Arabidopsis thaliana: one gene and its partners. The protein of the gene in region 2 interacts with the protein of the main gene of each other region in a pairwise test. Each region holds a gene or a part of one and is shown on either strand. Other genes may lie near its edges. The genes, in order: SBH1, ESK1, ALE2 and AT1G11915.

Region 1 (6,852 bases), on a different chromosome or scaffold from region 2:
AATTTAGTAGCGTTCTTTCTTAACATCTCCCAAAGCATATCTTTGCCACGATGGAGTGATACTGATTGATTTGTGCCAAAAACATGATTCGTTTACGAACTTAAGCACTTCAATATCATCACAAACTAAAAGAAAACAGAGAATTCGTATTAACTAAGTACTTAGAGACAACAACCTTGTACGTTTATTGGTGATGACTACGAGGATCATCAGAGAACGACAACTTTGGATGATGTAGAGAGTCTTGGAATGGCAAGGAGTTCTTTTAGGATGACAGAATCTTCTTTCTTCACGGAATCATCCAAGCATAGGGTCAGTTTCTTGAGGATGGTTGAATTCTCAAGTAAGTAACTCACTAGTTTCATCTCCATCGCCTCTCCTTTCAATGGCCTTTCTATCTTAACATACTCGAGAGATGATAGGAAACGCCTAGGTCCCGGCAAAATAATATTTTCTCCCTTCTCCTGATAACTAGCAGATTTCTGCATATACCGAGTGAAAGAAACACAAGTTCAAGATATGATAAACTTTCACCATTTTGCATCTTAATAAGAATTTCATGGTTCAATAGACAATACTCACCACGACAAGAGTTTTTAGATTCGGGCAGCTCTCAAGAAAGATTGGCAACATTTCCCACATGTAGCCGTAAAACTCAACACACAAGACAGATAGGTTACGGAATAAGGGTAGTCGTTCACATCTTGAGAAATCATAGATAACCTGTAAGGAAAAAAAAAAGTATCAGGAAAGAATAAAGTTACACATTCAATCAAATAGCAAATTCAACATTGTAGTGTACCTCAAGAGTACTCGAAAAAATGATCATATCTTTAATAGTAGAGATGCCGAGGAGAAAATTACGTATCATAGTTCTCTTTGGTAGATCATCTGGATTAAACTTATTCACGGAACTCAAGTTAAACACAATATCGATATCCGCTTTGACAAGCTTACCGGGTTTATTAAGTATAAAACTTGCAACTCGATGATCACTTAGCCTCAAATACTCAAGCTTGGGAGCATCAATTGAAACAACAAGATCTTCAACCACACCCTCATCACTATCCGCAACATGAGTGAACCTCAACAGAGACTGAGACCGCACACGTAAAACTTCAATCTCATCACAAAAAGACCTCTCAATAGTCAAGCTTTCAAGAACCGGGCATTTCGTAATCAGCGTTTCTAACCCCATATCGTCAGCAAACTTAGTTATAATCAGATCCATAACTTTGAGTGAAGGTAAAGAAACAAACTCGGGACTAGCCAAAGTTAATCCACAAAGCTTTAAAGATACCAAACTCTCACAAGTGTAAATGCTTGAAGGTAACTGAACCTCCCAACTCCCATACGAATCATCCAAAACATCGATATGTTGAACTTTACGCGTGACGATAGTGTTGATCCAACGTCCGATAAGAAAAATGTCAGGGTCATACTCGTCATCACAATCATACTTCAAGATAAATTTTTGTAAGAATGATTCACTGTTGAAATCGAGAAAGCTATCAACAAAACTCAAGAATGTGTTGAACTCTTGGAAATCAGTATTGTCTAGGTCTAAACCAGGTACGTGTTTCCAGAGATTTCTCCATCTACGGGATAAAACACTAGTCTTAACAACATCTTTTGTGGGAAGATTCAAGAGTACCTCACATAGCAAACAATCTGGTAATTTGCTTATCCAATCAACTTCATCAGATCCTTTCGCACGAACATGTTTCTCTCTATCTTCATCCATGAAAAGAAAAAAAATATCGAATCGATAAGAAACCCTCAAAAACTTAAGAGAGTATCGAATCGACAGTTGTACAAGAAAAAAACGAGTCTACAGTTAATACGACATCGTTTTATAGTATAAATCGCATTGTATTTGTATAACGGGCCTTATGGGCTTTAGAGAAATAAGAACATAAAAGAAAACGCATTATAATTTGAAACGATGAGTTTGATGAAGAGATCATGTAAACATGTAGTTGTTGAACAACTTTGAGATCTGATGTGGTTGTGTTTCTTGTGGGACAAGCAAAAGGCTTCGCAGGTACTGTTTTATTTAGTCTAGACACTACTAACGAGTAGCAAAGAATTGCTCCATGTGGTAATCAAACATCTGGAGGATTATTAAATCTGTAATATTTCATCTTGCACTACAATACTTCTAAGAATATCCAATACTAAAATGTGAATGTGAAGAAATTATAAAACAAAATCAACACAAAATCTTTCAAGAATGGCCTCGTAGATGGATAGATTATAAAAAAAACATGTTTGTTGTAGTAATATTACATGCAAAACAAAAACCGAAAGTAGAACAACAACTCAATAATGTTTATATACAAATCTCAAACTCCAAGCTAAATTCGCTCTTGAGAAGAAACGCAAAACGCAAAAAAACCAGTTCTGTTTCTGATTTTAAAACTACACCTCCAATAACACAAAGTATCATCCATTTCTCCAACCTCAGGGCAGATACATAACATATATCCAAACTCCAAAATCTTAATCGTCTTTGAATTCTTTAGTCGGGCGAGCTTCGAATCCTCCATCTTCTCTTTTCTCAAGCGAGTAAGGCATGTAAGTTCCAAGAATCCGATCCCACATGACAAAGAAAGGCTGAGAGAAATTGTATTTGGTTCCATAGAGCTGATGATGGATATCGTGGTAAGCCGAGTTGTTCTTGAAGACCATATGGAATAAGTTTCCAGGTAGCCAGAGACCGCAATGGTCGTCCACGGTTTTGATCGTGGCGAAAGAGAAGAAGAAGATGGAAGTTCTTGGAGACATACCAGAGACTAGGAAAGATAAGGCGCCTCCAATTGTATCCAAGAGAAGACCTTCCACTGGATGGTTGTATAAAGCTCCATATGCATAAGGGACGATAAGACGGTGGTGTTGAGAGTGGATATGTTTGTATAAGAACTTGTTCTGATGCATATATCGATGCATGAAGTATTGCCATGTGTCGAGGACTATCATGGCAGTCACAAACTGTCTTGCTAGGACCAAGAAGGAAAACTGTTGCGCTTTGTCTGCTTCGGCATCACTTCCCGTCACCTGTATAGACAATGAAGAAGCATATTAGAAGAAGGTTAAAAGCAAAAACTAGTACAAACAGAAAAGAAGATATTCCATGATATTGATGAGTCAATTCTATCAGCGGCATGTCTAAGCAAATCCATACATTACAAGTACTCAGGATCAGACGAATTCAAACCAAGAACCGATGATGCCGCTTCATTCCAGTTCAACAAAAGAACCGATGATGTAGTCATTCCAGTTCAACAAAACAACATTCCAGTTCAACAAAAGAACTTGCTTAAGCTTAAAGATCACAATTAGCAAGGTTTACTATGTTTGTTGGTTTTCTCATCAGATAAGCTGATAAGAACCAGTCCTCTCTGAATCTAACACAAGTAAGGAACAGAGGACCAACGGAGCCTAAGATAGAGTCCTTGGTTGAATTCTAGAGCAGCCTAATAAGGTCTGCCAAGTCTAAACCCTATTGCCAAATCACAGAACAATCCCTATTGATACTTTCCTCTAAAGCTCTTAACTATTGTTAGAACAGTCAATATATGATCCAACTTTAAGATCATTAATACATAACCCATTTCTCTTTATGGGTCGAAAGACAACATCAACCCAAAAAGTTAACCTTTTTAAAAACAAAAATCTTAACCATCCAATTCCACACATAAAAAGTCAGCGTCAGATATCAAAATTCCCCAATATGTTTTACCTAACTTTTCACTTCAATTTCACAAAAGCAAAACAACTCAAAAATGGGAAAAGAGAAAAACGGTACCGTGAACAAAAGGATAGCGACAACAGCTTGAACAACCTGTTGAACAAGAACACCTTTCACAACAGAAGATTTCGATACAAGATTCTTCTCTTCTTCTTCAACCTTTGAATGCAATCTATAACTCTCTAAAGAGGAGAGCGCTACATAAATCCCAGAATACAACCAGTACACCACAATCGGAGCAACAGTACCCAACAATTCATCCGATACAGCAAAACCCATCATCATTCCTAAATCTCAGCTTCTTCAGATCCTCTTCATCAACCAAAACGCAAATGATGCAAAAAGGATAGATTATTTTCACAGGAAAACTTCCAAAGTTTTGATCTTTATTCTTCAATTGGGGAAATTTGATTATTGAAACGATGATTGGGGATTGTTTTAGGGTTTGGGCGTTGTTGAGTTGACAAATCAACGATGAAGAAAGAAACAAAACAAAGGACGATACTTGCGTTTTGGTCTGAGAGACAGACGTGGCTGAACTGTACTCATTGAAAAGAAAAAAGAAAAAAATATCTAATTATCCAGTGTGGTTAGATCTACAGTGAGTTATCTACGTGGCGGAATCTCGATCGTATATACTTTTGATGTGATTTTTAACGGTTGATTCGCTAAGAAGAATCTCGTACTTACCGTGTTTGATTATTATTACTGTTAGCGATGGCGTGATTGGTTGTTTTGTTCCTCGTTTTAGTTTCATGTCGTCTTTGAAACGACGCCGTATAAGTTTAAACATATGTGACGAATGTATAAAATTCATCTTTACTAGCTCTCATAATTAATGAATTAATCAAAAAAAAAATCAGTATCCGAAGTTTTACTACCGATAATACTAATTGAATGAAGGCAATCTCTTATATTTTATGTTTCTATAAAATAGAAGAGATTCTTAACCATGAGAGATAAATGGTTAAGAATGATAGATAACTAGATATTATGAGAAATTTTTAGATAAAACCTTTTCAAGAAACTCATTTTCGATATAGGAAATAAAACCATTGTCAATAAACATTGGAAAATAGATTGGGAGATTATGGAAAATCAGTTTTTTTTTTTGTCTCTTATAAAATAGGGTGATTTGCAGATATAGCATTTTTTTACTAAATAATTAACTAACTAACACCATAAATTTGTAAATGTAATAAATAACCTTCAAGGGGTGTGAAAAGACATCACTGTCCTGATGTTACGTTTGTCAGCGAGGAAGGAAAATGTTTAGTGTGAGGTGACGTGGCTTTATTATTAGTGTTGAGGTGAGAAAAGAAATCAGGTGGTAGGAGAGAAGTTCCTTTTTCTCTTTCTTTTTTCTTTACCCCTTCCCAATTATAATTCATATTATCTAATCTTTAAAAAATTAATTCAAGTTCATGATATATCAATTAAAAGTTGTATAGTTTTCTACATATATCATGACTTAAATTTTTTAAAACAGACACAAAATAATTTAGATGTGAATAGTGTTGTCAATGAATAACATAACGTTCTATATAGATACACAATATTTTTTTATGGAAAGATATTAAACCCTAAGGGATAATATATAGGGAACCCAAGGGTTTAAATCTAAACCAATAATTAAATCACTTAACATCCTTAATCAAAACAAATAATTCATTTTAAAACGTATATAAAACAAAGTATACGTAAATAGTATATTTACAAATAGAATAGTATCTCTCAAATTGCAACAACAAAACTCAATTTCATCACCAAGACACCAAGCGCAACAACGAAAGTCGATTCCCTGAATCCAAATTGTGTTCCTCCCTCTGTAATTCGAAACCCCCAAATCAAATCTCACCCAAAAGTAATTAAGAGACTCTGATTTGAAAACAAAAACAAGTAACAATGTAGGTGTAAGGACTTTACTGGGGAGAAAGAGAGAGGGGGAGGGAAAAAGAAAGAGAGAGAAAGAGAGAGGGGGAGAGAGAGAAAGAGAGAAAGGAGAGAGAACGGAAGATAGAGGTACACATAAAGAAAGATGAGAGAAATAGATAGAGGGGTAAACTTGGAATTAATATACAAAATATAGAGGATATCATTTTTTTTTTTTTGATGTTAGTTCCTTAATTATAAATTTTTTGTTGGTTAGTTTTGCCAATTCCCCTATAAAATAGAATTAATAGAAAACCAGCTGAGAACATGAATGAAAAAAAAAAAAAAACTGGTCCAAGACATAGCATTGTGTCTTAGTAATCTACTGGTTCCTATTCTACTCATGTAGAAGTAAATTAATAAGTAAACAAAACAAAAAAGAGTTTAGATAATGGTAGAGAATTTGGTCGCGGAAACAACTTCAAATTCGGCCTCAATCATCAACGTGTCTTCTTTGTCCAAGTAAGTCTTCCGAATTTTATCTAAGGAAAGAAATTTACACCAACCGTAACCAAAGTTTGATCCCTTGTGCCAGTAGTTCACTGCAAGAACAAAAAATGTGAAACAGTTATAATGAGAGTAATTAATATCTCAGTTTGTATATCGAAAGATTATAAAAAGTAATAAGATAATAATGCAACTGTCTTTTAGTAATTACATCGGCTTGCCACGTGATTGGATCCAAGCGGGTTTAGAATTCGCACAACTACTTGCGTGAAAATCTTCTCATCTGGTTTTAGTGTTTCATTATCAGCTAAATAAAGAAACACGGATAAATATTTGCCTTTTGCTCTAGAGTTGCCCTTCGGAAACAGCTTTAGAACCCTACAAAAGATAAAATTACGAACATTCATACACACATGTCTATAGAGATACATTTTTGTTAACGATTTTTATATAGATACTCACCATTCCCTTCCTCCTATTGAAAATCTGTTTGGTTTGGAACACTCATTTTCTTTCCACTGAGAAAAGTTCTTAACACTCCAAGTGACCTTGGGATAAGAGAGTTTCTCATCATGAAAAGAGAGGATTTCCCAATTGGTAAGAGGTGGAGCAACAATGACATCAACACCAAACTCACATTCATTACCCTCGAATAGGTATCCATTTTGCGGTTAATGAATGTTTCATATGGAAAAACTTTTGGCAATCCCCACACCATTTTA
Region 2 (8,254 bases):
CTTGAAAAAAAAAAGGAAAAAATTTTGGTTGGAATATTTCAACGGAGAAGAGTAGAAACGGTCGTTGGCTTGTCTTAGTAGAAAGTAGTTTACTTTTTTTATATCCGCAAAAATTGCGGCTTCAAATTCTGCTTCAGAAGACTCTTAGAAAATGGAAAAAGTTACAAACAAAGAATAATATTTATTTTCTGTCAGTTTTTCTGATCATCAATTACTTTTCTTGAATCTACAGGATAGTATTATGTGCAGTGGACCAAAGAGCAATCTCTGCTCTTCAAGAACCTTAACAGAAATCGAATCAAGGCAAAAGGAAGAAGAAACAATGCTTCTCCTCGAATTCGCTGCTTGTGATGATCTTGACTCGTTCAAGAGAGAGGTTGAAGAGAAAGGGCTTGATTTGGATGAGTCAGGGTTATGGTATTGCAGACGTGTCGGTTCTAAGAAGATGGGTCTTGAAGAAAGAACACCTTTAATGGTTGCAGCTATGTATGGAAGCATAAAGGTTTTGACTTTCATCGTTTCCACTGGAAAATCTGATGTGAACAGAGCTTGTGGTGAAGAGAGAGTTACTCCGCTTCACTGTGCTGTTGCTGGCTGTTCTGTGAATATGATTGAAGTCATCAATGTCTTGCTTGATGCTTCTGCTTTGGTTAACTCTGTTGATGCTAATGGGAATCAACCTTTGGATGTGTTTGTTCGAGTTTCGAGGTTTGTGGCTAGTCCGAGGAGGAAAGCGGTTGAGTTGTTGCTGAGAGGAGGAGGTGTTGGAGGATTGATCGATGAGGCGGTTGAAGAAGAGATCAAGATTGTCTCTAAGTATCCAGCTGATGCTTCTTTACCGGATATAAACGAAGGGGTTTATGGAAGTGATGAGTTTAGGATGTATAGCTTTAAGGTTAAGCCATGTTCTAGGGCTTATTCTCATGATTGGACCGAGTGTGCTTTTGTTCATCCGGGAGAAAATGCGAGGAGGAGAGATCCGAGGAAGTATCCTTACACTTGTGTCCCCTGTCCCGAGTTCCGTAAAGGATCATGCCCGAAAGGAGATTCTTGCGAGTATGCTCACGGGGTTTTCGAGTCGTGGCTTCACCCCGCGCAGTATAAAACCCGGCTTTGTAAAGATGAAACGGGTTGTGCAAGGAAAGTTTGTTTCTTTGCTCATAAACGCGAAGAGATGAGACCTGTTAATGCTTCAACTGGCTCTGCCGTGGCTCAGTCTCCGTTTAGCAGCTTGGAGATGATGCCAGGGTTGTCTCCTCTTGCTTATTCTTCAGGAGTTTCGACTCCTCCGGTTTCTCCAATGGCTAATGGTGTTCCTTCCTCTCCAAGAAACGGCGGATCATGGCAGAACAGAGTCAATACCCTTACTCCACCGGCTTTGCAGCTCAATGGTGGAAGCAGATTGAAGTCCACACTGAGCGCTAGAGATATCGATATGGAGATGGAGATGGAATTGAGACTCCGCGGTTTTGGCAACAATGTGGAAGAGACGTTCGGGTCTTATGTTTCCTCTCCAAGTAGGAATTCTCAAATGGGTCAAAACATGAACCAACATTATCCATCTTCCCCGGTGAGACAACCGCCATCTCAACACGGGTTCGAATCTTCAGCAGCTGCAGCGGTTGCAGTGATGAAAGCGAGATCAACCGCCTTTGCGAAACGTAGCTTGAGCTTCAAACCAGCTACTCAAGCAGCACCACAGTCGAATCTCTCGGATTGGGGATCTCCAAACGGGAAGCTGGAATGGGGAATGAAAGGAGAAGAGCTGAATAAGATGAGAAGAAGTGTTTCCTTTGGAATCCATGGAAACAACAACAATAACGCAGCTAGAGACTACAGGGACGAGCCAGATGTGTCATGGGTTAACTCTTTAGTTAAAGACAGTACTGTGGTGTCTGAGAGAAGCTTTGGAATGAATGAGAGGGTTCGGATAATGTCGTGGGCTGAGCAAATGTACAGAGAGAAGGAGCAGACTGTGGTGTAAACACACACAAAGATGGTTTCTTATATATATTGCTTTTGGGCCATCTCTGCAAATTTGATTCTTTAATTTTTGTGACTTTCTTTAGTTGTTACTGTTATTAGTAGTATATGGTTTGTTGTCACTACGAGTCTACGTGATGAAAAGATAGAAGTTAATTGCATTAGTTTCTATATTCGTTTCTCATCCTCTTGTAATTTATCAAACCATGAAATGGCTAAGCAATCCAAACCGTAATATGGCTGAAACAAATATACCATGTCATCAACACGAAACATGCACAACGCCACCTCAATGAGCTTCAAAACAGGCTTTAGGCTATACTCAACAACGGTACATAACATAAGTCATCAGAGGCTTCGCATACTTCCCAAATTGGTGATGTTTTAACAAAGTCTTACTTTAAAATTTCATTAAAATAGTAGAATTTTCTTAGATTGACATACTATACAGTATAAGCTTTTTCATAGAAAATATGTCAAAGATGTTATGGGACGCACGTGTGCCTCAGACACATCACTGCGCACGTGGTGAACTTCAAGTAAAATTCTTATTATATAAATAAAGGTATGAGTACGTATGATATATCCGATGTGTATCTGACTCACTCATACTAACAAAATACAGAGGTTTGGGTTGGGTTACTTTGGCTTTGGTTCAAAGCAAAACTGTTGAACGAACAACTAAAAGTCTAAAACCAAATGGAGTCATAATAAAGTATACAAATTCTGCCAAGAAAATAAATAAATTTACATATATATATATATGTAGTAAGATGATGTAAATAAAATGGATTGGTAATGGCAATGGTTGGTGCCGTATACATATATGTGTGTATGAGATTCCTTAGCCTTTACTTCTCTCAAACAGAAAGCTTCATACTATTATCATTTTGAGTATTTGACCTGTCTTTTTAATTTTCATTTGATTTTGCAAAACATATATACATCTATTTCTCTCTTAACGAACACTGATGCTTCACCCTCAACATGCGATGGAAACATGATTGTTACAGAAAACGAAAGATTAGTTTCTTATCCCAAAACGTAAGATTAATTTGGTACTAATCTACTTTTAGATTTGGTGATTAGGAGGAGTAAACTTGTGTTTAATATAAAACTGATCTTTGTTGCTTTAATATGCATGTTTGGTGAATTACACCCGGAAACATAATCAGATCAACTGGCACATGAGACATTAAATTCATGTTGGATCCTTATGTTTCATAGAACATTATGTTTATGAAACAAAAATGTAAATCAATCGGAAACTTTGGTGGTATACAAGTAAATAATTTGGAAAAATACATGTTTAAGCAAAAGTAATTGTTACTAATATCCTAATTTCTACAATTGTTGTTTCGATGGTCCCTTTCTTTAGGTGAGGATTGAGACAATCTTTTAGAATCTTTGATTCCACTCTTCGCTCCAAACTCTACTTTGCTATAACAACAACTTCAAAATAGATTAGTTAAGCGAATCAGGTTACATTTTAAAGAAAACGATATAGAGAGAGCAACTTTGTATATAATTTTAAAATTCTTCACCTGAAAGCCTTTAAAAACCAGTTCAAGATAAACCCATCTCACCAAACTTTAGTAATCACAAAACTAATTAACGTCAAACAATAACAATTTTTTCACAAATTTAATTCTTTTATTCCTTTATTCGTTGCTCTTATATTTCCATCGATCTTTCTCCTTGTCTCACAAACATTCTGACATTTTAGAGAGCCTCGACAGAGAATTATTTTTTTCTTTTTTATTTTCGTTTACAAGTTTCAATTCTTCTCTATATATTAAAAAAACAAACAGATGCAACCTTGGAGAAGAAAATTTCCATTGTTCGAAACAGGAGTTACAATGAAACAGAGGAAGAACAGTAATCTCTCAATCTTCGTCGTAGTCTTCTCTGTTTTCCTCTTCGGGATCTTCATGTACAATGAAGACGTCAAGTCCATCGCAGAGTTTCCTTTCTCCACCTCAAAACCTCACGACGTCCACGACGAAGCGACACCGATCACAGAGATCACAACACTACCGGTTCAAGAGTCGATCAAGAACTCAGACCCAATTCAGGAATCGATCAAAAACGCAGACTCAGTTCAAGATTCAGTTAAAGACGTAGCAGAACCAGTTCAAGAGGAGGTATCGAAAACAGAGGAAGTTAAAAAGATTGAGCTTTTCGCTGCGACGGAGGATGAAGAAGACGTGGAATTGCCGCCGGAGGAATGCGATTTGTTCACCGGAGAATGGGTTTTTGATAACGAGACGCATCCATTGTATAAAGAGGATCAATGTGAGTTCTTGACGGCGCAAGTCACTTGCATGAGAAATGGAAGAAGAGATTCTCTGTATCAGAACTGGAGATGGCAACCTAGAGATTGTTCTTTACCAAAGTAAACCGGAAAAAAGCTCTGTTTTTGTTTTCATCGATTCTTTGGGTTGGTTTAGTTTTGGTTTCTTCTAATTTTGTTTCCGGTTTTGTTTGATTTGGTGAAGGTTCAAAGCGAAATTGCTGTTGGAGAAGCTAAGGAACAAGAGAATGATGTTCGTTGGAGATTCCCTAAACCGGAACCAATGGGAATCAATGGTTTGTTTGGTTCAATCAGTGGTTCCTCCCGGTCGAAAAAGCTTGAACAAAACCGGTTCTCTCTCCGTCTTCCGAGTCGAGGTAATTGAAACCGACTAGTTTATTTCTTATAGTAATGATAATGTGTTTAGTGGAGTTGCTGATTTTCGAGAGTAGTTAAGATAAGTGTGGATTAGTTTTCTAGTTATTAATGTTGAATTTTTGGGTGGTTTTAAAAAGGATTATAATGCGACGGTGGAGTTTTATTGGGCACCATTTTTGGTGGAATCGAATTCAGATGATCCAAATATGCATAGTATACTTAACCGTATAATAATGCCTGAGTCCATTGAAAAGCATGGAGTCAACTGGAAAGGCGTTGACTTTCTTGTTTTCAACACTTACATTTGGTGGATGAACACATTCGCTATGAAAGTCCTGTAAGTCTACTACTACTTCAATATTATTACCTCTATGGTGTGTTATGTATTTTACAAATTTTGTGAATTGAGATTGTGGAAATTGACGATGAAATCAGACGAGGATCGTTCGATAAAGGAGACACCGAGTATGAGGAGATCGAACGGCCAGTAGCGTATAGGAGAGTGATGAGGACTTGGGGAGATTGGGTGGAACGAAATATTGATCCTCTACGTACCACTGTCTTCTTTGCTAGCATGTCTCCTCTTCACATCAAGTAATTAATCTTCCTTTCTTTTTTTCTTAATTGTTGCTTCAATACACAGATTTTAGTTAGTGATGCTTTGCTTGCAAATTGAAATTACTGACAAATTGATAGGTCACTCTCCATGTTTGACTAGTGTCACCATTGAAAATTTGAAATGATTACATAATTTAGTTTCAGTGATTGAGTGACATATGCGTTTCTTAGAAATTAATTCCTACTAGCTCCTGACTCCATTTAATTGACCTGCTAAATATTATACGTGAGAGTTAGTAGTTTTTAAACTTTTCCTTAAACCAAAATGATTTCAAATATGATTTGATTTAAAACAGGAAAAGGTTGATCATTTTGTGTTTTTCTCTGGATTAGGTTATTGATAGATTGCCAATTATAATGTCACTTAGTTAATTCTTTATTTTTGTTATAATAATCCAAAACAAAAAAAACACAGGTTGGTATAATCATTAATAACACCAGACCATAATATTTTAAACCTGCGGACGTAACTTAACTTGAAAACCAAGCAACTACCAGAAAAGAAAAAGAGATAACAAGTCGTTGTCCTTTGAAAAATCCACACAGTATACAAAAATCAGCTAAAAACATAAAAACTCTAAATAGTATTTCATTTTAACGAGTTGGTGAACCACCCACATATTAGACTTTTAATTGTATGTGTTTATCTTAACTAACAAAATATAGTTTGTAATTTTTGTTGTTATATTGTATAGGAGCTTGGATTGGGAGAATCCAGATGGGATCAAGTGTGCATTAGAGACGACACCAATCCTAAACATGTCAATGCCATTCAGCGTAGGAACAGACTACAGACTGTTTTCAGTAGCGGAAAACGTCACGCATTCTCTTAATGTTCCGGTTTACTTTCTCAACATTACCAAACTCTCCGAATACCGGAAAGATGCTCACACTTCGGTTCACACAATCCGACAAGGCAAAATGCTGACGCCGGAGCAACAAGCCGATCCCAACACTTACGCCGATTGTATCCATTGGTGTCTTCCCGGTTTACCTGACACGTGGAATGAGTTCCTTTACACACGTATCATTTCCCGTTCGTGACCTACAAAATATTTGAAATATCTCTTTTTCAATATTTTTTCCCACTTTGCTCCATCCAATGGAAGAGCCTTGAAATTTTATTATTTTGATGTCCTAATGTTCATAATTTTTCTTGAATTGTAATTGTGAAATGTTTCTTTCTTTTTCTTTAATGGTTATTAGAGTGCCTAGTAGGCTATTTTAACTGTTTTTGTACTCTTAAAACTTTGAAATGAGGTGGATAACAAAGGATGCCAAATGTTTTTTTTTTGTTCAATGAAGTGGGTAAAACTTGCTCACATTCGACTGTTTCTTTTAACGGTCGATTTTTTTGTTAACCGGGAAAATAAATATAAAGGTCATTATGTTTCAATCTCTTGCTATTTTGTTGGACTATTAAGATTTTTGAATGTTAGATCGTTACAAAGGATTCTTCCATTAAAACAGTAACATGATCACAAAACCACATCTTTTAATCACTATACAATCGAACCTTTTGAAAGAATGAATGTGTAGGAGAAGAAGAAGAAAGAAGTTAGATATGTCAGTGGTTACTCGGAAGTCTGGACCGGCGTACTTGGAACCGGCATTCCAACGTAGCCAACTCCAACAACAAAGAAGGCAATGGACTGCAAGAAAAGATACACGTAAAGGTATGTCCTCCCAAACACAAAATCATAGTATCCACATATGAAGAGATACATTCCAACCATTATCTCTCGCCATCGAAGTCTGCACAAATTCGAAATCATATCATTGATTGATTAGCCATTTCGCACGATAAATCTATTCGGGGAAAAAGTTCAAACCTCTCGGGGAAGCTATAGTGATCAGGAAAAATGAGGTTTTCCCTGAGATTGTTACTCTCTCCTAGTTTTTGTGTAACAATCCATTCTTTAACTCTACTAGTCTCTAGCAATCCAATGAGAGTTCCTATACTCCTATGCATCGCCATTACGTTTTCAAATAAGATCCAATAGAGTATGAGGTAAAATGATTTAGGTGTTGCAATAGCGTTTAGGATAGTGATGGTAGCTGGAATGTAGATAGTTGTCCATTTAGGGACTTCGATCTCCGGGAATATAACGGTAGCTGGCAAAATCACGCAGTAGAAAACGAATGTGAAGATGTGTACAACAATCTTCCTCAAAAAGAAGAAGTTGTATATCAAATACACCTTCTTCCATAAAGACACATTCTGTTTCAAACATGTCACACAAAAAAAGATAAAGGTCATTGAACTATATTTGTGTTCCGAAAGGAATTAGATTTGGGGATTTATGTAATCTATCTACCTGGTTTTTGATGATCTCCATTGCAATTTTCTTGAAAAGGTTCGCTGGACCGCAAGACCAACGATGTTGCTGAAACCGGTATGCTTGAAATGAGCTCGGAAGCTCGTTTTTCACCTTAAATAAAACTCCCAAAGTTTAGTCAGATCACTTCAGTACAGGTTGAATCATTGCATTCAGTTGATAACAAACCTTAACATCGTCGACATACACAAACTTCGAGCCGCGTAGATAAGCTCTAACAGCTAAATCCATGTCCTCGACTATCGTGCGGTCTTTCCATCCTTCAGCCTCATTCAAAGCTTTAATTCTCCACACACCAGCAGTACCTAAAGTCAACGATGTTCTTTTAGTAACTCAAATTAAGATCATATAATACAAGACACACAAAGAGCATGTTTATGGATGTTTCACCATTGAATCCAAAGAAACCAAGTATGGAGGATCCAGACTTTTGCTCCACTGCAAAATGGTAGTTAAGAGACATCTCTTGTATTCTTGTCATACAACACTCATCAGCATTCCCTGTCACGCACACACAAACATAATCGATTTAACAAATCGACTACACCGGGTCTTTAGCTAACTAGAAAGGGAAGAAGTAAGATCTAACCATATTTCCAGCCGGCTTGTACAAGAGCTATCTCAGGGTTATGGACAAGGAAAG
Region 3 (9,614 bases), on a different chromosome or scaffold from region 2:
AATGTCTCTCTCACGCGCTACATTCTTCCTTCTATCTCAGCCGTTCGATTTGACTCTTACGAGATCTCTTTGACTTGAATAAAAAATAATCATTAATGTTAATTTTGTTCTTAAATGCAATACATTATGTATTATTCGTCCGATTGTTAACAATAATGAAAAAGTTTAGTAAAAAAAATCGTTAACAATACTAATATAGCTATACGAAATAAAAAATATTAATACAGAAAGTTGAAAATATATATCGCCAGTTTTTACCAATTTTGGTACTGGTTTTATGATTGAAATAATAACACTTATACCACCACTATGGTACGAATTACTAATCAAGTTGAAACAAATATCAACAAATTTATATAATAATAAAAAAAACTTATCAACAAATTCTAGGGTTTGATTTTCATGAAAATATTGTTAGAACGTGCACATAACACGCTAAACGTTGGATATTAATAAGGAGATGCGGAAGCTGAGGCATTGATACCGTGAAGTGAAGGACCCCCTAGGCCGCACATGCACTTTGTGTCTTGGGAATTGTATTGCTTACATAAATATTTCATCCGTTTCCTTACAACAAATTACGAGTTTTCCTAAAAGTTGTTTTCTGAAGCAAAGAAAATGATTTGTTTTAATATTGTTTTTACATAAAAGGTTGGGAAGAATTTGATCATCAAACCAAACAAATGAACAATCAATGAAAAACATATAAATCCATCAATTTCTATAATCAGCCCAGATTCTTTTGAGTTGAGGCCCATTAGGCCCATATTCATCATATACCCGTTCAAAACTCGTCATTTCATCGTCACCACCACCAGTACAACATCCGCTTTTTGATTCCAAACCAAACCCTAATTTCTCAGCTCGAAGTTTCCATTTCATTGCTTCTTCTTACCTCGATTTTTCCCGGGTATTAGAATTCGGTCAATTTACTGAATTATAGTGTTCTCACATGCCAACTGATTCTACTTCAAAATCGCTGCGAATTTCTGCGATCAGTTACGAAAATTTTGTCAATGGGTTCGGGTAATCATGTTGATATAGTCGATGTGAGCTCAGGCGAAGAGGATGTCGATACACGGGGAGACGTAGAATACACCGATTGGCTAAACGGTGTTATGGAACCCGTCGATGATACATCTGACAGTACCGATATAGTCGAGGTTCTTTCTGAGGTTAGAGGTGGTGTAAATTCTCAGTATCGGAAGCCAAACTCGTCGAATCAAGCTTTGGAAGATGATGACGACTGTGTGATTTTGGACTGTGATCCCGACAAGACGAGGGAGACTACTTCAGTTGACGACGACGATGATGATGATGTGCTTGTAGTGGGTCAAAAGGGTGAGGTATGTTTTCACTGAACCCTTCTCATTTCTAAGTTCTCTTTCGTTTTCTTCATTCGAATTGGTGTGAAAGGCAGAGTTTCTCATTTCAGATTATGTATGCGTTAGTGTTGTTTAGCTCTGAGGAACTGTTTTAGGAATGGATAGTTATTGAACTGTTTTGTGTTATTGTAAAGTAATCGTTGTAACATTGATGAACTTTTTTTCTTTGGTGATGGAACTGTTTTAGGAATGGATAGTTATTGAACTGTTTTGTGTTATTGTAATTTAATCGGTGTAACATTGATGAACTTTTTTTCTTTGGTGTGTTCCATCTTTATACAAGTGTTGTTCACTTAAGTTTTCCTAATATGAAAAAGCATTTTTTTTGTTTTGTAGATAGCATGTAGAGATTTCCCTCATCCGCGACATTCGTGTGCTAAGTATGCGTTCAACTCAACATCACATGAGAAGTACTGTGACATGGTAAGTATCTAAATATTCTCTAATTCTACACGGAGCGTTAATGGATTCTTTTCCTGGCTGATCCTTTTCATTTGGTTTCTCTTTCAAGTGTCATTGTTATGTGTGTGACATCCGTGCTCCGTGTCCATACTGGTGTATCGCTGTCTCCTCCATAGATCATTGTCATGCTAATGATAAAGAGAAGATATGGAAGAATCAACGTGAATACTTCAGGACAGGATACATGCCTACCGCACCATCTTCAAAACCTACTCCAAGTATTTTACGGGTACCCAAAAACACTTTGCTTCGGAAAAACCATGTTGAGATCCGGCCTTGTTCATCATCTACCCGTGTTGCTAATCCTTCAAGTGTCAAAGCCAGGCATAGAATCAGGCAACCGATTCCGCACAATCAAGGGTTGCAGAGTCAACCGGCACAGTCATTAAGCACTGTTCGCGACAGCGTGATCCAAAAGGATAGAAGTTCTTATAGGTTTAGCCTACGATCCCGAGTAGCCTCTTCTGCGGGAAATGGTATCAGCATCCGATTTAACAATGCTCAAGTTTCACAATCCAGTCACCATAGCTCTTCCACAGTGGCACCTACATTAAACCCGGAAACGTACACTCAACAACGCAATGTTCGTGATCATTGCACAGCGCTACCTGGTTCTCAGAGCAACGTGTTCACTCGACATGCAGACCAGAACATACGTGGTAGTGGAAATCGTCAGTTTCAGACAAATGTGGATCGGTTTGCTCCGTCCAAAGCTCCTCTTACTGCTGAAGATTCGCATACAGCTACGGTACAACAGCAACCAGGGATTAATGAAAACGTCTTGGAGACCAAACTATCGGAATTTGAGAAATGGCTAATGGAAAATCCTAACCCAACCGGCCCTGTTAGTCCGTTACCTGAACCGGGAAATCAAGACTATGCTAGTACGTTGTCATTTGATTTTGAAACATTTTTGAATGATTGAAAGATTCATAAGGGTAGTTTGTATCTCCGTCCCTAGGTTAACTCTCTTCACTGATTGTATTTTGTAGAGGGAGTGCTGTAGTTTATTACAATCTCGATTGTGTGTATCATTTAATTAGCTGCTACTAGTACATCATAAAATTAAGTCCTAAAAAGTACCTGTTTGCCAATTGACATAAATAATGTTTGTTGATTTGAGTTTTTTAAGGTCAAAAATCAAACATACCATCATTATCACTGCCTGTTTAAATGATTAGGGAGGGGAAAATATCCATGTAATGTAAAAGAAGACAATCAACAATCGAAAAGCGATAGATATAGAAAGAGGCACACACATATGGTCTTGATTAAATTTGATCAAACTTCTATTTTGCCTAATAGACAAATAGTCCAAATTTATCAAAACCGGAAAAACATTGTTATATTTTGGATCAAAATTACTTCTACCATCATTTAGTTAGCTTTTAATATTTTAGAAACAATTGAATTTTTGACCCAAAAAAAGAAACAATGGAAATAACTGATAAAGTCTTCTTAAAAGTATAGGAAATTTTGCCAAGTATATAGTATTAATTTTGGAAACAAACACGAAAATGGAATAGTTTTGAGAGTTGATACTTGTCATTTGTGGAATTATTACTATTACTTTTTAATGTAAAATATTTCGAAAATAAACTTTTAACAAAAGTAAAATCCGAAAATACTTAGTTTCCAAGTTTATAGAAATCAAGCCCAGCCCATTTGGGGTTTTTAATTTTTTTTTTTTTTTTTTTTTAAAAAAAAAAAAAAAAAAAAAATCAAACCCAAAACGATTCCGTTTAGTAGGCTAAAATTCAAGTAAGTCCCGGCCCAATAAGGCAACTAACGCCCAAAAAAGAAACGGTTTTGTCGATGTGACGGTAGCAAACGGCCACCAGTTTTGTCGTTTCGATGTGCGTGGCCACCACGCGCATACGAAACCGCGTCGGTGTTCGCTAACGCCATCATCATCGCCTTTTTTTTTTTTTTTTTTTTGCCTTTCTCCGAAAGCAGTCTCACTACGGCAACACACTACCCTACGCCCCCTTCCCACCATCAGCATTAAATTCTCTCTCTCTCTTCGCTTCTTCTGGTTTCGAATTCACTTTACTCTCTTCGCTTCCAATCTCTCTCTACCACTCTGATACCTTCGCCGGAGAAGAAGCTCTCGTTCTCTCTATCGTCGGAGAAGCTCTCGTTCTCTGCTTCCCTGCTCTGTACAGATCTCGAGCCGCATTTCGTGGATCTGTCAAAATCGCGTTAAAACCTACTCGCTTCTCTCTAACCCTAGGGTTTTTGAATTTTTTTCGGGACGAGGGAGAAATCAATGTCTGTGAAGCTTTGAGGAAGCTATATGGTTACACCTTTGGTTCTGGTTAGTCTTCGTTTTGATCGGCGGAGAGTGTTCGCCGAGGCTTGGTGTCTCCGTTATTGACTAATGGTGGTTTTTGATTTGAGATAAGAGATGCGGAACTTTGCGATGCTTCTGCTGTTAATTCTTCTTCTTCACTCTCTCGCCTCGTTTCCTATATGCTTTGGTATGAACTAGTTAACAAATTTCTTTTCCCCTTTTCAAATTTAGGAAACGATTTTGATAGGAGAAATTAACCTTTAGTTAAGTTGCTCTTACTTTGACAGCTCAAGATTAGTTGGTGGTCTATCTATATTTAGAATTGTTTATTGGATTTAGATATATTTAGAAGCTAATTTTGGTTATGTACAAAGTAAGCAAAAGAGTTTAGATTATTTAAGTTTGGAATCTGTGATTGTGAAGCGTGAGAGTGAAGATCAAGTCCTCACGTTTTGTGCCTTAATTGGCACACAACCTTTTAATAGCTAGAATGCACATAGATCTTACTCTTTCTTTTCTGAGTATCTTGAGGAAATATCGATTTTGTGTGACATTCTCTTGGCCAAATTTTATCCTCTACAGTTGGCATTATACTTTTAAACCCAAGAGAGGAGGATGGAGTATGCATACTATTAGAAACATTCTATTTTTTCGAAACTTTTCACTGCTATGAATATTCGACATGTGTAGAAAGAATCTATAGATGACTTATCAGCTTGCTTTATCATTTGCAGCTCGGTTATTTCCGATGAGTTTGCCATTTACCCGATCAAAGGCGCATCAAATGCATTTCTTTCATCCTTATCTTAATCCATCAGTTGCTCCTACACCTTCACCAGGTCAGTAAGGGAATCCTATTTGTCACCTAAACATAGTGTCATTATGTTTCTGTCTAGGAGTATTCATTGTTCATTGTCTTTCCCTTTTTAGCTTTTTCCCCCAACCCAAGTCGCATTCCACCACTAAGGCACAAGGGTCATCACCGTCATCGTCGCTGGCATTTAAGACGCAATGCCACTGCAGTGTCACCTTCGTCACATGGTAGTTCTTTTGCTTCTTGTTGGTTATCCTGCGTCCTATTATAGTGGCAACGATAATGTTTTATATGAATACTTTTTCTTCAGACTTCAGTTGATAAATCAAGCGTAGTAACTACTTTTTCCTGTGTATTTCCGGCTTTCCTTTTGATAGACTGTCAGCAGACATGTGTGGAGCCTCTCACTTCAACTCCCTTTGGTTCACCTTGTGGTTGTGTCTTCCCCATGAAAGTTCAGCTTCTACTAAGTGTCGCACCTTTTTCTATTTTCCCCGTGACCAACGAGTTAGAAATTGAGGTTGCTGCTGGAACATACTTGGAACAAAGCCAAGTGAAAATAATGGGTGCCAGTGCCGACAGTGAAAATCAAGGGAAAACAGTGGTGGATATTAACCTTGTTCCACTTGGGGAAAAGTTCGACAACACTACAGCAACACTTATTTATCAGAGATTCCGGCACAAGAAAGTACCTCTAAATGAGACTGTTTTTGGTGATTATGAGGTTACGCACATAAGTTATCCAGGTAAACTGATTTCATTCAGATGCAAGTTTCTACTTTTTTTTTGTTTTATTTCAAAGTTTGAACTTCTTAACCTTGCTTCAGGAATTCCTTCTTCTTCGCCAAATGGAGATGTTACTGGAGATGCTCCAGGAGGCCTTCCAATTCCGATCAATGCAACAACTTTTGCCAACAAAAGCCAGGGAATAGGTTTTAGAACGATTGCAATTATTGCGTTGTCAGGTTTTGTCCTCATTCTGGTTTTGGTTGGAGCTATTTCTATAATCGTGAAATGGAAGAAAATTGGGAAGTCATCTAATGCTGTTGGTCCGGCTTTGGCTCCATCGATTAACAAAAGGCCTGGTAATTTTCACCCTCTGACTTCTTAACGCTTCTATAGCTTTAAAAGAACCTGTTTCTGAAAAATTTATTCGCCTTGCAGGTGCTGGATCTATGTTTTCCAGTAGCGCCAGAAGCTCAGGCTCAGATTCTTTGATGTCTTCCATGGCTACATGTGCTTTATCAGTTAAGACCTTCACACTCTCCGAGCTTGAGAAGGCTACTGATAGATTCAGTGCCAAGAGGGTTTTGGGCGAGGGCGGATTTGGTCGTGTTTATCAGGGGAGTATGGAAGATGGAACTGAGGTTGCAGTGAAACTGCTAACTAGGGACAATCAGAATCGAGACCGTGAATTTATTGCCGAAGTCGAGATGCTAAGCCGTTTGCACCACCGCAATCTTGTGAAACTGATTGGAATATGCATTGAAGGTCGTACACGTTGCTTGATTTATGAGCTCGTCCACAATGGGAGTGTTGAGTCCCACTTACACGGTGACATATTCTTTTCTCTGCACTTTTAATAACAATATATCCCAATTATATCCATCACTTCTCGTTGCATCACCACCTAAAACCTGGCTTTCCGGTTGTTGACAAAACAGAAGGAACGCTTGATTGGGATGCGCGGTTGAAGATTGCACTTGGAGCAGCGAGAGGACTGGCTTATCTCCATGAAGATTCAAATCCCCGAGTAATCCACCGTGATTTCAAGGCTAGCAATGTTCTCCTAGAAGATGACTTTACCCCAAAAGTCTCAGACTTTGGACTGGCAAGAGAAGCAACCGAAGGAAGTCAACATATTTCAACTCGAGTCATGGGGACCTTTGGGTAAAATTTCTTTCCAACTCAAATATGATGAATACAGACACTCTGGACTTACAGTGACTACCCTGGAAATAATTTCAGGTACGTGGCTCCTGAGTATGCAATGACGGGGCATCTCCTTGTTAAAAGCGATGTCTATAGTTATGGTGTAGTTCTACTAGAGCTTCTAACCGGTAGAAGACCAGTAGACATGTCTCAACCTTCGGGAGAGGAAAACCTTGTGACATGGGCGAGACCCTTACTAGCCAACAGAGAGGGCCTGGAGCAACTGGTGGACCCTGCATTGGCTGGAACCTACAACTTTGATGACATGGCGAAAGTGGCTGCGATTGCCTCCATGTGCGTCCACCAAGAGGTCTCACACAGACCATTCATGGGTGAAGTTGTGCAGGCACTAAAACTTATATACAACGATGCAGATGAGACCTGTGGTGATTATTGCAGCCAAAAGGACTCATCAGTACCAGACTCTGCTGACTTCAAAGGCGATCTGGCTCCTTCGGATAGCAGCTGGTGGAATTTGACACCTCGGTTAAGGTATGGTCAAGCTTCGTCGTTCATAACAATGGATTATAGCTCAGGACCACTAGAGGACATGGAGAACCGGCCTCACTCTGCCTCTAGCATTCCAAGAGTAGGAGGTCTTATTCTACCAAACAGATCAGGTCCGTTAAGACCCATGCGTAGTAGAAGAAACTTCTTTAGACTGAGAGGAAGCATGAGCGAACACGGTGGACCGTCGTCGTCTAGACATCTCTGGTCCGGCAATGGTGACTGGCTCTGAGAAACCAGAAAATGTACAGTGAAGAAAAGGGAAAAGGAGGCTCACAAACTCTTGAGCTGCATGGTTAGGTTCTGGTTAATCCGGCCAGGTTCGGTTCATCTGGGTAAAGATTTCCGGTTTGATTTCTTTTAGGAGCTGTTTGTTGTTATGATTATCCTCAATAGAGATTTAATTGTTTGTTTTTGCGAGGATGCAAAAGCACAGGGAGGGTTGTATTTTGAAGGACGCCTGTATTTAGTTCTCTCCTTTTCTCTCTCACCCACAAAAAAACATTTTTATATATTTTATTTTAGTGAAGTTAGTAATTACCTAATTTTTTTTAGTTTTTCAAGTTCCTAAGAAATTTGGCTTTTGGTCATCGTTGTTAAGTTTCCGGTTTTCTGAATTTACATCCGAAATATTTTTTGGTTAAATAAAATTCTGGCTTGAGAGTAATTGGCTGGTGAATGGTAACAAGTCACTTGGTCAAAGCTGTTGTAATTCTTTTCTAATTTCTAGTATCTTCTGTAGATTGGACACAATGACATGGATTGTTGATCTTTAAAGTCGTAGAGTATAATTTGATATGTTTGTCTTTCTTCCTCCATATCTTCTTAATTCCTCCTTCCACTTCAGCCAAACCGAAGCTTGCTTTCGAGTTTCTGAGTCTTCTTCATTTTGTTATACAACACAGTCTAAAGAAAGAAAATCTGTAGGCCCAATAAACACAAAAATCGATTTATGGGCTAAGCAAACAACGGTCACAGTGGCTGAGTAAACGGAAGAGAAAAAAATATTTTAAAATTTTGAATTTAAAATTAATAAGGTCTTATTGGGCCTACATTATGAAACCTATCTAATCTCTCGAGATATAACAGTTGAGGACAAAACGCTAAAATCCGTTTGCGTTTGGTTTATATTGGCAAAAGCAAAATAATTTTTAATCGAGGAATATGTAGGAACGTCCGATTTAAGTATCTGACTGATCAGATCAACGTGACCAAACGAACCATGAAATGAATGCTACTGGAACCCAAAGTAAAGAACAAAGAAACTAGAATTGCTAGTTAGTATTCATAATATTAATAGTTAGTTTTTTAAGAAGTTAATTTTTTTTAATTGCTAAATATTTTTAATCAATAGTTAGTTTTTTTTCTTATATTATCAATTAAATATTTATTAAAATTTTCAAAATTACCGTGCAAAATTTATACTAAAAAATTATATACTCAATTGTTTTTCATATTACTTTCTTATGAAACTCATATCGTCATATGTATTGAGTTTAATTGTAATGATTTATTTTCTAATGAAAATAAGGAGTTAATATTTTCCAATTGATATGTATATGTGACGTATGAGCGAACAAAAAAGAAGAAGAAAATATATTTGTGGTTATATAGAAAAGAAAAATGTTACAAAAAATGGATTGTACCGAAGACAAAACCTCATGAGTCACTTAAGTAGAGAGAGAAACCAACTGAGCCAACATATCATTCCGAGTTTTGTTTTTTGTGTCTAAACCATAATTTCATGTTTGTGTTGTGTGAAAGCCATGGAAGCCGGCGGGAGCAAAACCAAGAAATGAGTTGCTTGCTACAAGAGGTACAATTCTTATAGAGAATATGTTTTTCACATCAAGATTGCGTTCCATTCGATTCATCAGCCTTAGTGTGGGGTTTGCTTCAAACATTGTAAATCATTCGAATCTGTTCGAGAACACCTTCACGGTATGGCTTGAGCTTATATGATCTTCTTGTTCTCTGTTTTTTTGTTGGGTTGGTGTTTGATTGATGATTATTTTGAACAATGTCAGTTCCGAACCATCCCTCTCGACCATTCAAAGAAAAATGCAAAACCATTTTCGCTGAAAAAGGGTGTGAACTTTGTCTTCAAGTCTTTGTGGAAGCCACTGCTAGGGATGAGCATATGAAAGAGTGTCTCATGTCTTCACCACCTCCTATCCAAAATGCTTCTAGTGCAAGTGGCACACGCGTGATGAGTCTGTGC
Region 4 (6,520 bases), on a different chromosome or scaffold from region 2:
TTCTTATATATCATCACTCGTTTTCAGTCGTTTTCAAATAAAAAGCGCATTATGTTAAACAAGTTGAAGTATTTACCGATAAATTAAATCTGATAATTGGCACCATGTTGTATGCGTCGGCCGATACCATGCATGTCAAAATGCAGTGTCTTTGTGTACCGAACTCACGAATCATAGACTTAGACTAGTCACTATGTTTATATATACAAAAGGACTAAATTATATATACTCCAAACTTGTGAGATTATTAAACAAGTACAAACTAAAATCCAAAGTCAAAACCATTAATCCATCGTCATCTCAAGCTCGTGCACCCACGTCTATCTATAAATAAGCGAAGAGCGTTGATCAAAGAAGTATTTCGATAATATAAGTTTCATTTCATTAGTCAGCGCCATCCGTGTGTCCCACCTTCTCATCTTTCACACATAGACACAAAATCATATATACTTAATAATAGATACTGATATGTATATTCTCTAGCTTATATCTATTGTCGTGTATATATATTTGCACACACATAGTTCAATTCAAGCCTTACATCTTCTAGCAAATGGCTTCTCTTTTCTTAACAATTATTTCACTTCTCTTTGCAGCTTTCTCTTCTTCTGTTGTAGAGGCTGCTTACAGTAATGGTTATACCATTCCCAAACTATTACCAAACCCTATCGATTCTTGCTGGCGAAGAAACCCTTATTGGGCGTCTAACCGTCGTGCACTAGCCGATTGCGCGGTAGGGTTTGGAAAATCTGCGGTTGGGGGGAAATACGGGTCGATCTACGTGGTTACAAACCCATCAGACGACCCTGAAAACCCTAGACCCGGAACACTGAGATACGCAGTGATCCAATCTAAACCATTATGGATCACATTTGCACGTGACATGGTCATAGTGTTGCGTAACGAGCTCATCATGAACAGCTACAAGACGATTGATGGAAGAGGGGCTAAAGTGGAAATTGCCTATGGACCATGCATAACGATCCAACATGTGAGCCATGTCATTATACATGGGATAAGTATCCATGATTGTAAACCGGGTAAGTCGGGGCGGGTACGGAGCAGCCCGACCCATGTTGGTAGCCGGAAAGGATCGGACGGTGATGCAATAGCCATTTTTGATTCGTCACATATTTGGATTGATCATTGTTTCTTTTCTCGGTGTCAAGATGGTTTGATCGATGTACTTCATGCTTCTACGGCTGTCACTATTTCTAATAACTACTTCACGCAGCATGATAAAGTAAGTTTATATTTTACATAGATGTAACTTCTACAATAGTATTTTGAATACTTGATGATAATTTGGTATGTTTTTATGAAGGTGATGTTACTCGGACATAATGACAATAATGTGGAAGATAAGATCATGAGAGTTACAATTGCGTTCAACCATTTCGGACCGGGTCTTATTGAGAGAATGCCTAGGTGAGTGTACATGCATACATATTGATATCTAGATTACTTGAACTAGATTAGAAAATGCTGACATGGATATGTGACTGATGACGTGGCAGAGTGCGAAGAGGATATGCGCATGTAGCAAACAATAGGTACGAGAAATGGCAAATGTATGCGATCGGAGGAAGTGCTGATCCAACCATTTTTAGTGAAGGCAACTACTTCGTTGCTTCTGATGACCCTAGCAAAAAACAGGTCTCTTCATTTAAAATAGTTAATATTTTAATAACTATCATTACAATACCACACATCAATAATGCAATGAAATCTTACATGCATATATATGATTCTATATATTTAGGTGACAAAAAGAATAGATAGTGGATATGATTGGAAGAGATGGAAATGGAGAACGTCCAAAGACGTTTTTAAGAACGGAGCTTACTTCGTGCCTTCTGGCTACGGAACCGTCACGCCGTTGTACGGAAGAGCAGAGCGGTTTCCGGTGTCTCACGGCTCTCTCGTCCCTTTGCTTACTTCATCCGCCGGTCCTCTCCATTGCTATTCCGGCAGAATTTGCTAACTAATTAATTATTATTCACGTATATATACATATGTGATTATATATAATGTTTCATAAAATGTAACGTTTTGATAATTTTGTTTCTTTCCTTGGAAACGACGAGGCGGAATTCCTGTTCCTGAGGTGTGTTTTGTGAATTATTCAGTACCCGGGACGGAATTCAAGTTATCTTGGAGGATTTATATACTTTTTGTTTTACTTTCAAGATTTGTTTTGTATAAAGATTTGAAGTTGACCAATGTGAAGAGTATAGTATTTTGGAGAAGTTTTTGTCTTGGCTTATACGAACAATTATGTGATTCTTAATATGGATGACGGTACAGCTACCATTATGCTTGCAAAATTTTTCTTGCTTGGTGCCTACCAAAAGATTACTATCCGACCAAAACGAAAAATTTACTATTGTATAAGAAAACACAAAAAATTATACGAAAATCTTTATCTAGAACTTGTAGTATACACAAAATCAAAGATAAAAGGTAAAGAACAAAAAAGGCAAAAGAGAGCGAAAAAAGAAGAAAAGAAGAGTGTGAGTGTGACCATGCTTTTAATCTTTTTAAAATTATGATTTCATTGGAGCTTTTAGAAAATTCTGTTCTCATTGCTTTGAACTCCACAAGTGACCGGAGCATTGGCTCTCACTTTCCTCAAGTACCAATATACTCCACCGGCAACGCCAATCGCTCCTGCCGCTGAAACTGCCGTCACTGTTCCTGTTAGCGACAAATTTTCCGGTTCAAATCAGGTCACAACTTACAAGTATATATAAAGTCATATAGTAATAAGATGACCACAAACTTCATGTTGTAGTTATAGTAAACTTGCTTATTTACCTGCGATAGCTCCTACGCGTTTATGGTTTACGAGGCTTGGATCTGCAGAATGTATCAAAATGATTGAAAATACGTATTAGTACTATCTAATAGTCCCTACCAAAAAAAAAACTATCTAATAGTAGTTAAATAGTTCTCAATAGAAATTGTAGTTAGGACGAAAAGATATGAACATAGACATTTTGACCTTTGCAATAAGTAGTGACATTGCCTTGTTTACAAAGGCACAAAAAATCTCGTGTCCTCGTATTAAACCCACAAACTCCACCACCTTTAGTCGTTTCTTGGCAAAGAAGGCACTTCATTGTCACTGGAAATTCGTAATCAACCCTTATCCCGTACTCTGGAAACTGATCATACGGTGCATTCTCCACACCTGTACTCCTCCAATACACACTTGTATACGTCGCACAGTCCTGCAGCATGAGCCTAAGAGATTGAGTCGCTTTAGGGTAATACGAACAACAAGAAACCCTAGATCCCAAAGCAGAGCCACATTCAGGCAAATGTCTGCATAGATAGCTAGAACTATCGCAGGACGAGTCACATCTATCTGGAAACCTTTCGCAGAAGAGCGGTTTTGGTTCGACGATAACTTTATCGGTGTTGCAGTTGAAGAACAAGTAGTCGTTTTGAGGAGAGACAGTGAAGTGTGTACTTGAATCGATGCTAAAAGATCTAGTGGGTCGAAAATTGTCTCGATCTTGACAGTTCCACATGAATGGATCGGAGACAAGAAGGTGAGGATCAGAGTAGCTTATAGATTTAACAGGGTATTTACCAGATGGTGTTCTAAGTTCGAGCTTGGTATCGTTGTCGGAGCAAATGAGCATGTGTCTGTAATAAGGGCTACCACAACCGTCGTCGATGGAAAAAGGGTAATTTATCGGAATGTTGCCGCAAGAAGATCTGCAGAGATTTGATTGGGATGATGTTGTTGATGATTGAAGAAGGATGGTCATGAGAAGGGAGAAGAAGATAATGTAAGAGTGAAGTGGAGACATTGTTCAAAAATTAGGAGTTTAGATTTGATTATTGGGTAGTTTTTAGTTATGAGATTATAATTTGGTGGTGTGAAGTGTTGAGTAAGCTTGGAATGTCTTGTTAAAGAGTTTAAGAATCAATCTTGTCATGTGCTTGTTAATATTGCTTATTTTAGGTTTCGGTTTGTTTTTAAAATTTCACCTTTCTTTTTAGTATAAAGTATTCCAAGAGGACTCGTGGTTTTGTTTCAGATTATTTGAAATATTTACATACAATATGTCAACAAACGTACTATTCTTTTTTCTGATATTTTACAACAAAATTTGTTCTTTAACATGTTATCTAAAAACCATTTAACAAAAAAAATAAAATGTATGAGAACCTTATAAAATACAAAATAGTAATTTCAGTATATAATAGTTTTGAATTTTCTTTTATTTAGAATTTCGTTTAAAGGGTTGTGATTTGTGAAGTAATCTTTGGAAGATAATCTCAATGTAAACAACACATTGGGCTTCTCATAGGCCCAATATAAACAACACATTGATCATTATCCATGTAAGGTGAACTCTTTAATCGAAACCGTTCAATTTCAGTCATCTCAATCCAACGGTTAGTATTCCAAGGAGCACGTAATCCACTCTAAATTCGTAAACACGTGATTTCTCACTAAATATAAAACTTGATACGTTACGCCTTCCTATCCATCCGTCAACGATTAAATCCAATCGTTCAATATAGAGATCCAACGGCTAATAACGAAACATTAGCCCACACGAAATCTCCTTTTTTTTTTTGACGGGATTATACAGTGGGCCTCCACCTGTAATTGTCCATTTAGGAGACAGCGCGGTTAATTTAGCATTATCCCTCCTCACAGTCATCTCTTTCTTCGCAAATAAATGTAACCATCTCTCTTCTCGTTTTCTTCAACAAAAATCCTCATTTCTCTGAGAATCTGGTGCTTTAGCTTTGGTGAGCTCTCTTTCTTATGAAACTTATCGATTCTCTTCTCGTTGATTGTCTTATACTTTTAGTTCTCTGCTTAATTTATTGTCCTTAATACTCGTGGATTTGTTCATAAATCGTTTTCTGAGCAGTTAGGTAAGAGTTTTGTTACCGAATTTCATGTTCTTCGATTTTGAATCTGGATGATTGTATGATGTGATTAGTAGACTCGCTTAGATTTTGTGATCTGTGTATGGTTTGTGGCTAATTTTGGTTTCATCGGTGGTATGAATTTATTTGGGGTTTTAGGTTTGTTTGATTACGTAATCGGACTGTTTACTTGAAGATTTATCGATTATAGTTGTGATCGTTTTTAGTTGATTGAGAAGAAGAAAATAAATTTCATGCTCTTGTTATTGTCGCGATTGTGGCGATTTTCAGTGTCTTATGAATCAATTATGTTGCATGTGAGTCTTGGTGCAATTGAGATTGTTTCCTTTTTTTACTAGATTGCTTGTCTTATTGAACAAAACTTTCCATTTATGTTGAAAAGGTTTATAGGAACGGATGTTTAGGGTTTTGTTGTAATCTGGGTATTTGCTTTCTGATTTCGGCAAGCAAATGTCGATTTCAAGGTTTATATCACTTTCTCTAGCAAAAGAAGTCTTTAGTCATTTGCAAAGTCAAGAGAGTTTTTACTTTATTTATTGCTTCCACGCTATTGCTTCGTGGCTGATTGAGAGAGACCAATTAAACTAATAATTTGTAGTTTGTACAATATATTGCGTGTAACATTGTCCTTCGTTATCTGTTTGAGGAGGAGGACCGAGTTAGCCTATTTTTAGTCACTTTACAAATTTTCTTTTATGTTGCATCATTCAATATGAACTCTCTGATATAAATATATGTATACATACTGGTTGACTTTTATGGGTATGGTTCTCTGCTTTTTTTCTCTGTGATGGTCTCTTGATTCTAACTTTCTTTGTTTTATGTTTTTGGTTTTTGTTGTCAATGAATAGGTAAAATGAAGATATACTCTAGAACGGTTGCTGTTTCACTCATTGTGTCATTCCTCCTGTGTTTCTCTGCCTTTGCTGAGCGCAATGACGGGACCTTCAGAGTTGGACTGAAAAAACTCAAGTTGGATTCGAAAAATCGGCTTGCAGCACGCGTCGAATCCAAGCAAGAAAAGCCCCTGAGAGCTTACAGACTTGGAGATTCTGGAGATGCTGATGTTGTTGTGCTTAAGAATTATCTAGATGCTCAGTACTATGGTGAGATCGCCATTGGTACTCCACCTCAGAAGTTCACTGTGGTTTTTGACACTGGGAGCTCTAACCTCTGGGTGCCATCATCAAAATGCTATTTCTCAGTAAGCAACATTTGGACTATTGTTGTTAGCTGTGGTTGAGATACTTTTGAGTAGAAAACTAATTGTGTTCTATCTCTTTTGCAGCTTGCATGTCTCTTGCATCCCAAATACAAGTCGTCTCGTTCAAGCACATATGAGAAGAATGGTTTGTTCTCTCTCTTAACTTGAAATTTTTTGCAGTTGGATTTCCCAGTTGGTAGATACTTTACAGTTCACTCAATGTAGCCTCTAGAATTCATGTTAATGTGCAGAAAACCATTGTTAAAAGATGCAACATCACTACTGATAGCAGCTGCTAGGTTATAACTAACTTGCTCATCTTTGATGCAGGAAAAGCTGCCGCAATTCATTACGGCACTGGAGCAATTGCTGGTTTTTTTAGTAATGATGCTGTCA

Evidence for each region.
Region 1: the proteins of ESK1 (region 2) and SBH1 interact in a protein complementation assay, tested with the Arabidopsis thaliana proteins (one large-scale study listed by BioGRID).
Region 3: the proteins of ESK1 (region 2) and ALE2 interact in a protein complementation assay, tested with the Arabidopsis thaliana proteins (one large-scale study listed by BioGRID).
Region 4: the proteins of ESK1 (region 2) and AT1G11915 interact in a protein complementation assay, tested with the Arabidopsis thaliana proteins (one large-scale study listed by BioGRID).

The regions. Positions count from the first base shown.
Region 1 is NC_003070.9:26,191,431-26,198,282, forward strand, and holds SBH1 (sphingoid base hydroxylase 1), read right to left. Parts: upstream 4,297-6,852; 5' UTR 4,037-4,296; coding exon 3,809-4,036; intron 3,058-3,808; coding exon 2,503-3,057; 3' UTR 2,188-2,502; downstream 1-2,187. Other genes in the region: AT1G69630 (F-box/RNI-like superfamily protein), read right to left, coding at 210-482, 583-723, 803-1,744; AT1G69650 (TRAF-like family protein), read right to left, coding at 6,068-6,225, 6,342-6,508, 6,593-6,777, 6,828-6,852. UniProt on the Arabidopsis thaliana protein: Involved in sphingolipid trihydroxy long-chain base (4-hydroxysphinganine) biosynthesis. Can use C18- and C20-sphinganine as substrates to produce C18- and C20-phytosphinganines (D-ribo-2-amino-1,3,4-trihydroxyoctadecane and -eicosane).
Region 2 is NC_003074.8:20,776,616-20,784,869, forward strand, and holds ESK1 (trichome birefringence-like protein (DUF828)), read left to right. Parts: upstream 1-3,559; 5' UTR 3,560-3,794; coding exon 3,795-4,378; intron 4,379-4,481; coding exon 4,482-4,653; intron 4,654-4,791; coding exon 4,792-4,991; intron 4,992-5,089; coding exon 5,090-5,248; intron 5,249-5,967; coding exon 5,968-6,316; 3' UTR 6,317-6,618; downstream 6,619-8,254. Other genes in the region: SZF1 (salt-inducible zinc finger 1), read left to right, coding at 233-1,984; CSLA14 (cellulose synthase like A14), read right to left, coding at 6,847-7,027, 7,105-7,493, 7,591-7,704, 7,780-7,916, 8,002-8,112, 8,201-8,254. UniProt on the Arabidopsis thaliana protein: Xylan acetyltransferase required for 2-O- and 3-O-monoacetylation of xylosyl residues in xylan.
Region 3 is NC_003071.7:8,754,486-8,764,099, reverse strand, and holds ALE2 (Protein kinase superfamily protein), read left to right. Parts: upstream 1-3,801; 5' UTR 3,802-4,254; coding exon 4,255-4,327; intron 4,328-4,874; coding exon 4,875-4,979; intron 4,980-5,070; coding exon 5,071-5,181; intron 5,182-5,331; coding exon 5,332-5,700; intron 5,701-5,781; coding exon 5,782-6,039; intron 6,040-6,118; coding exon 6,119-6,508; intron 6,509-6,618; coding exon 6,619-6,844; intron 6,845-6,922; coding exon 6,923-7,625; 3' UTR 7,626-8,248; downstream 8,249-9,614. Other genes in the region: RIN13 (RPM1 interacting protein 13), read left to right, coding at 1,017-1,346, 1,722-1,808, 1,897-2,772. UniProt on the Arabidopsis thaliana protein: Required during the differentiation of the protoderm into shoots epidermis and cuticle.
Region 4 is NC_003070.9:4,019,131-4,025,650, reverse strand, and holds AT1G11915 (wall-associated receptor kinase galacturonan-binding protein), read right to left. Parts: upstream 3,902-6,520; 5' UTR 3,822-3,901; coding exon 3,005-3,821; intron 2,860-3,004; coding exon 2,818-2,859; intron 2,698-2,817; coding exon 2,567-2,697; 3' UTR 2,359-2,566; downstream 1-2,358. Other genes in the region: AT1G11920 (Pectin lyase-like superfamily protein), read left to right, coding at 554-1,243, 1,325-1,428, 1,518-1,656, 1,763-1,984; APA1 (aspartic proteinase A1), read left to right, coding at 5,655-5,682, 5,772-6,124, 6,209-6,269, 6,455-6,520.